Tribolium castaneum: one gene and its partner. The protein of the gene in region 1 binds, or shares a complex with, the protein of each later gene. Links are inferred from orthologs where the notes say so. Each region holds a gene or a part of one and is shown on either strand. Other genes may lie near its edges.

What was found. The genes of interacting proteins can lie anywhere in the genome.
Region 2: raptor (region 1) and Sin1 share a complex: the UniProt entries of both Homo sapiens proteins name them as parts of the mechanistic target of rapamycin complex. The link is inferred for Tribolium castaneum from reciprocal best matches to the Homo sapiens genes RPTOR and MAPKAP1.

What each region holds. Positions count from the first base shown.
Region 1 is NC_087399.1:3,459,751-3,463,402, reverse strand, and holds the end of raptor (regulatory-associated protein of mTOR), read left to right. Parts: intron 1-1,553; coding exon of another isoform or gene 1,554-1,582; exon of another isoform or gene 1,583-1,595; coding exon 1,596-1,881; intron 1,882-1,927; coding exon 1,928-2,047; intron 2,048-2,094; coding exon 2,095-2,290; 3' UTR 2,291-2,879; downstream 2,880-3,652. Other genes in the region: sodium-independent sulfate anion transporter, read right to left, coding at 2,880-3,116, 3,167-3,334, 3,379-3,524, 3,573-3,652. UniProt on the Homo sapiens protein: Component of the mechanistic target of rapamycin complex 1 (mTORC1), an evolutionarily conserved central nutrient sensor that stimulates anabolic reactions and macromolecule biosynthesis to promote cellular biomass generation and growth.
Region 2 is NC_087397.1:9,927,726-9,931,258, reverse strand, and holds Sin1 (target of rapamycin complex 2 subunit MAPKAP1), read left to right. Parts: upstream 1-1,227; 5' UTR 1,228-1,297; coding exon 1,298-1,388; intron 1,389-1,432; coding exon 1,433-1,976; intron 1,977-2,136; coding exon 2,137-2,375; intron 2,376-2,422; coding exon 2,423-2,755; intron 2,756-2,805; coding exon 2,806-2,990; 3' UTR 2,991-3,033; downstream 3,034-3,533. Other genes in the region: crb (protein crumbs), read right to left, coding at 841-889; Pdzd8 (PDZ domain-containing protein 8), read left to right, coding at 3,275-3,436, 3,484-3,533. UniProt on the Homo sapiens protein: Component of the mechanistic target of rapamycin complex 2 (mTORC2), which transduces signals from growth factors to pathways involved in proliferation, cytoskeletal organization, lipogenesis and anabolic output.

The sequences.
Region 1 (3,652 bases):
ATAGAATATTTCTTTTCCCATCTACAAAATGTGTTAAAGACGGTCGCTTATATTCTATTTGTTTAAATAAAAATTACTTATGTAGTTGTAAAAAAACTATATTTTATAATTTAATTAGCAAAGAATACATTTGCACTAATATATAACTTTTAATCGTTAGTTAGATTGGCCCTATCTCTTGCGTTATTACATAAATTTATCCCGTAAATGTTAATATTTCATTAATTAATTGCTGTTGTACTGAAAACTGCTTGAAATTGTATTTACCTAACTTAGTAGCTTTTACCATTTAAGTAGTAGTATTGAGTAGTATTTATCTTTAAAAAACGAAATTTTTTAGCTAAATATTTGGATAAAGAGTAAGGCATTCAAAGATTCCGGTTAAATAAGTTATTTTTCGGGCTAGTGAAAAATTAAATTAAGATACTGCGTTTTTGCTTAGGACCGTCGAATTGTCTAGCAATATTTATTTGAGTGTGGAAAAGTGCAGCTTTTGTGTTGGAATTCCTTACCGAATTTTAGAAATCTTGTGTTCAAATCGGCAATAAAATTGATTCTATCTTGAATTTTTATTTTCTAAAAATGAACAATAAATAAATTGGTTATAGAAAATGTTATTTCAATTTTTATTTTAGATGTTTCGATCAAAAAGCAAAAATTATATTTATTTGAATTTTTATTTAATTATTTTTAGAGGAAAATATTACGTATTTAATAACAATCGCTGGTTTCTGTGTAATTATCAGTTTTTGAGATGCTTTTAGCTGTCCCACTTTGTATACACATAATTTATGTGGAATAAAAAAACAATGAATTAATTATTCTTTTAGACATTACATTGTCACTTTGTGATAATCACTAAAATTACTTGATCGTGTAAAAATAAAGTAAAATAAATATAATAAAACAGTTTTATGGAACAAAGAAATGGATTAAAAATTACTGAATTTTCCTAAAAAGTTATTGGACTAAAGATATAGGAGGAGAATAATGTTTAATTAAATTTTTAACGAAGAAATAAAAATAGAGCCGTGGCTTACATTTAATGAAATAAAAACTTATCAGAATAAAAAAATCTTCAGCTAGATTTATTAAGTAAATTTTACAAACAACAGTATTGCATTTTTCGTAATACATTAAATAACGAAGGGAGCACGTGACATCCACTTCAAAGTTGGTTTCAAAAAGAAAGAATTTGAAACAAATTAAAAGCGAAATCTTACCTTGTGGGGTTTTGTCACTTTTTTACCAGAAAGATAATTTAAAGTGCAGTCACAACTGTTCTTATAATTATTTAATCAACTATTATATTAAATTATTATGAATTTTATTTGGCAAATCCAATTAAAAGACGTCGGTAATTCTAATTATAATAAACAACGAATTTTATTCAATTAATTACAAAAAAAAGAGCATAAGTTGTCTTTTAGCGTTTGCTTTTAATTTTATATATTTTTATATTTTATTTATACTGAAGTATTTCTAAGAAGAATATGCATTTGCATCCCTTTAATACATTTCTGGTCACTTAATCCTTGAGGTCCAATTTTCAGCGAGACTTTCCAGGTTTTTTAGAATTTGAACATTGTTATCAGGAGCGGACTGCGCGATCACTTGCATCGACTCGACATTTTCGGGCGTTTCGCACGAAAACTACAGTAAAGCGTACCTAGACCGCGAAAAAGACGACGAAGGAATTAGCATCGACGAGGATTTCAAATGGACTCGTTACGGCATGGTGGTGGCCGGCTTCCAAGACGGTTCAATCCGAGTGTTTGACCGCCGTTGCAGCCCCACAGAGGCCCGAATCGCCGTGTTTATGGAACATTCCGGCCCGATTTTAGGCGTCCACTTACTCGGAAACACATTTTATAGTGGAAGGTAATTCACCAATTTATTATTGAATTTTTCTAACGGAAAGTAATAGCACCGACGGCCACGTCCGAGTCTTCGACGTGCGCAACCACAGGGTTGTGCACACGACCCAAGCCATCCAGAACAACATGTCCTGCTTTGCGCTGCATCGGGGGACCGCCACCTACGCCTGGTATGTTAGCGGTGGTGGAGTTTGAGTTATTGTGTTGTTGGTTTCAGCGGGTCTCTGAACCAAAATGTGAGCATTTACGGGTTCAACGGGTGTCTCCTGAACACGATCAAGTTCTACGAGGGCTTCATGGGCCACCGTACCGGCAACGTCACGTGCCTGAACTACCATCCGCTGAAGGTGGCGCTGGCCACAGGCACGTCCGACTGCTCGGTGAGCGTCTACTGTTTGGAAGGTAAAAGGTGACGCGATTCCCAGCCCTAGAGCTCGGTCTGGAGCCTCTTGGGCTACTACTATTAGCGGAAATTTTGCTTTGCGCTTCGGTTTTACTGTAAATATTTTACGTTGGTAACTTGAAATTTTATCGTGTATATAGAATTTTAATTGAAACGCTTTATTGTAGCTATTAACCGAGTAATAGTACAGTACAGGGAATTTTGTTGTTAGTTTTTTAAGACTGATTGTTGTTTTACGAATTAGGGCGGGTAGGCCTACGCAACCGTAGGGTGATTCATACGTAGATGTGACCAGTTGTTAAGTAATTCTAAGCGAACGTTTCGATTTTTTTTATTATTGTGATACAAGCAATGCAGCAGAGAGAGAGAATGTTCGTCGTTACATTGTACTCAAGTTTAATTTTTTAGAGTGAATCTTTTTTTATCAAACGGACCGATCCGTTGAGTTACCTGAACTCTCGATAATTCTTTATACACTGGCACAACATTTGCACAAAAGTCCGATTGTTGGGGGTTCTTTTTTATAAAATCGTTTAATTGTGGCATAAGTCTTTTAATTTACAATTATAAAATAAATAAAATATATCACAACAAGCGTATCAAACGTTATCATAGTATGACATTTTCCTCTCACTTGTTCCCTTGTCGATCAGCGGAATTTGGCAGTCGTTCGTTTTGCTCGAATCGGTCTCACTGATGTTGTCCACGCTTTGGCACACTTTTAAATGATCGAAGTCGATCGTTTGCCGCCAAATATTGAAAATGTGCGGCTTGACGTTCATCAGAGTCACTTTTTTGTTCGTTTTGTTGAACGTTTTCACGAGATTATCGATTGTCTGGAACAAAACGTGGTCACAATTATTTCAAATACGTTTTATCCAAGCACCTGACAAGCTGCATAATCGACTCGTATAATATTTGAACAATCAAGGACGATGGGTAAATTACGCCTGTTATTATAGGCTTCAATTACGTTGGTTGTTAAGTAATCGGTTGCAGCGTAATAAAGACCGACTTCCGGCTTTATATAAATGTATTGGTTCCCCTGGTTGTCCTAAAACATTTTGAGTTCGAGTGATTACATTTTTCACAACTTACGACTCGAATTTCTTTGGTTATTTGGGGCCGTGCCCACACTTTTAACAAAATCAACAAATTTAAAAGCCCACCCGCGATAATTCCAATCTCGACACCGTAACACACTCCAATGGTTAGTGTTGCCAAAGTCAGGAAAAAATCAAACTCTAAACGAAAAAATTAGTCGGTTCCGTTTTTTTTTTTTGGCAACTCACTGTTACATTTCCACAGTTTGGGGAAAATTTCGTAGTCAAACATTGTGATAATCGCCGATATCAAAATAGCGGCGAGAGTC
Region 2 (3,533 bases), on another chromosome or scaffold:
AAACCGCAAATTTAAAATTTTAATTTTTTTTCTTATGTTTCTTATAAAAATTTTAATAGTTAGTTTTTCTGTCTGTTAAGAGTGCAAAGCTTAACGTTCCTGATGTTTTCCAAGTAATTAGTGAATTGGTTGGATTTAAATTAATTTAAAACGATTTGGTACTGAGACGATATAACGCTCGAAACGCCCTCATTTTTACAATGTTGTACTATTTTTTCGGGTCCAGAAAATCTCGTTTCGTCTCCTAGCTTATAGTTCACCGTAGCCATGACGACTAAACCGACTTGATTGAATTTTGCCCTATATTTATTTGCCTAGTCTGTAAAAAGTACGATTTCATTACTTCATCATTATATGAGAATTGTTTATAATTCAAAAAATTCATAATTAGGCACAGGTGGAACACCTGTCTGGACACCTGTTGAATTTTGTTCCAAACCTACCAAGCCTAATTTTGGGGTTGTTTGTTGTATGGAACCAACAAAATTTATGAAAAAAATGTGTGATTTATTTATTTGTCAATAAACTGCATACAGAAAAATTAGGTAATGATCAATCACAGTTGACTTTGAGTTGTCATGGCAAGCTGGGTCATAAAACTCTCCCCATGTCCTTGCCATAATTTCTCTCAAAAATAAACTTTTCGTCCGAGTTAATCATTTTTCTGAGAAACGGAGGCCTAAATCGGTGTGACTCACCTCATCTTCTCACATTGCAGAAACAGTTATTGTTCCAAAACCTTTCTAATTTTTGTATCAAGGAAATTTAAATAACAAAAGATACAAATCAACTACTTTTATAAAAAGCCAAAACGTGTACGAAACCGGAAGTAGGACTTACCCAAGAAAACAGAAATTGGTCCCAACCTCCAAGAACTCAAGAAACCCATCTTTGAGACAACTGGATTGCGGTTTTTTCGTTACATTCATTAAAATCATATGCACCATGAAGCAACAACGGGGAGGTGTGTTTATGTTGAAAAAAACATAATTTTATTATTTAAAACCAGTAAATAAACACAAAATAAACGACAGGTTCACAAGACAACAACACCCAGCACCCACACAACACTTTTTCTAGTGACAATTTTAGTGATTTTGTTGTGTGTAGACAGTGCTCCCAATATGAACCAAATTTCAAAAATTTAGCAATTGGGGCCAATGATATCGAAAAGTGTTTGATTTTTTGATAAAACGACACGTTTTAAAATATTAAAATATGCTCAAAAAAAGCGTTGTCGCCTATTATCTAACAATAATGAGCGTTATGTCAAGTTCTTACATAACCTAACTTGTCAATGTTTACATCAGACACGATGGCCCTTTACGACAACAAATACTGGTTATTATCACACATACGCAACTCTTTCATTTCTACAGATGATACAGGTTTGGCTAGGTTTCAAAATCACACTCGATTAACAAAGTTTTAGGAATGTGCGAGTTAATAATGACAGGGGAGGAAGGTGTCAGGAAACACCTGAAGCAAAGCCTTGATTCGTACCCTGATGACGAAGACAGTGAAGATGAAGATGATTTGTCTCACGAATCTTACGACCTACAACTTGACACCGATTTCCCGTTACGATACAGATCGAATACTGCCGTAAGATTAGAAAAATTAGAACAGGTTAAAAAGAGAACTGGCAGAATCAAACATATTAAATGGGAAACGAACAAGAACGAGTTGAGTGAGGAACAAATTGATCAGTTATTCGTAAAAAAGGAACCCAAAGTAATAGAACCGAAGCAATCTTTGTTTTCTAAAACCTTCAAGGAGCATAAGATGATGCCCATTAACCCTTATATGGATTATGCCAAGTTTGATGGCAGCGGACAAGTCAATCTTCAAGTGAAGAAGTATAGAATTTTCCTAACAATGCTACCAGAGCACCAGAGGAATTACCCCTTGGCTGTTTGTTGCACCTCTTCTGCTAAAATTCAAGAGTTGATTGGACTTATATTACTCAAATGCAGGTTTGTTAACTTGATCCTGAAGTTAGGTTGGCAATATTCTAAGTTACTGATGACATAGTTGCACGCTATTGGCTAAGCGTTAAAATGTTGCCAACTTGATTTCAAAGTCACAGGCCACTTTGACCAGGAAATGAAATAATTGAAAAACAAAATTTTTAAGTACAATGTATGAAGACTATCCTTGGAAGCCCGTAAACAATTACGGTTTGTACATAACTGAAGAAGACGGAGAAGTGGATAGGGACTTCCCCAACTTGGACCCGAGGGAAAATATTGCCAAATTTGGGTTTGCTTGTTTAGGGCTTGTGGAACATTCAGATCCCTCAAAGTGTGTCAGTTTTGGGAACTCTGAAACTGTTACAATCAGAAAATTCGATTACAATGACAAAAAAGGAAAAGGTTCGCTTTTGCCACATTTTGGTTTAAAATTTAAATTTTTTCTTTAGATTCGTCTAAACAAGACCAGGAAAAACAAATCACCACCGATTTACACTTAATGGACGTTCATAAAAAAGCAATGGAAGCCCCACTGTACAAATCGTTCAAAGTCTACATGATTAATAAAATGCGGGCCAAAGTTGAAATACATTTAGGAATAAGTGGCGAAAAAATCGAAATTGACCCAGTGCAAAAAAACTCGAAATTTGTTCTAGTTAAACAAAAACCCATAAACCACGATATGGACATGATCGCGTGGTGCGAACCCATTGAAACTACCAAAAGCAACAAAATGACTTTCAAAATCATTTACAGCCATTCGTTCGCAAACGCTGAAAATGGTATTTTTTGTAATTATTTAATTTTCTTGATTATTTAATTGTTTTTCTAGTTTCAAGTCCAACTTTACAATCTTCAGCTAGCTTCAAAAGTTACGAATTTGAGGCAGACCAATCAATTGCCGAAGAAATCGTAAATAAAATAAACCTGATTTTGGATTTGAGGTCTAGTGACACACGGAAGGAGTATTTGGCAGCGCAAGAACGGAAATATTATAAGAAAAAAGCGTTGATTTAAGTAACTTGTATACTAAAATATAATAATAAATTCATAAATTATTTTTTTGCGTTATGATTTGGGAACGTACCCTCGTTACATAACCTCAACCGTCACCTGTCAGCTGTGAGTGTCATTACCCTCTTGAGAAAAAAACAGAAAAAGGAAAATCATGTTTGGCTTTTTTTGACGCTTATCATATATGAGATAAGCACAAGGGGGCTATAAAATGGTAAACTGACTCCACTTTGTGTTATTTCGAACAAAACGGGCCTAAAAATGGTGATAATATAATTTAAAGCGCTATGGATATATTTTTGTTCATGTTCCTAGTTTTTATATCTTTTTTAATTGGTATTATAGTGACTCTCGTGGTGCAATATTATATTTTGTATTCTTATTTTAAAACAAGTCCAGTGGTCACACCAAATGAGAAAAAGTGTTCTACTGATTACGTTTTACCAGAGGTATGTATTAAATATTTATGTTTTTGTGTGTATCGAAGCGCTTTTAGTCTTTGAAAAAACAATTGGATAGTGAAGAATTGAACGATGCGACGAGTTT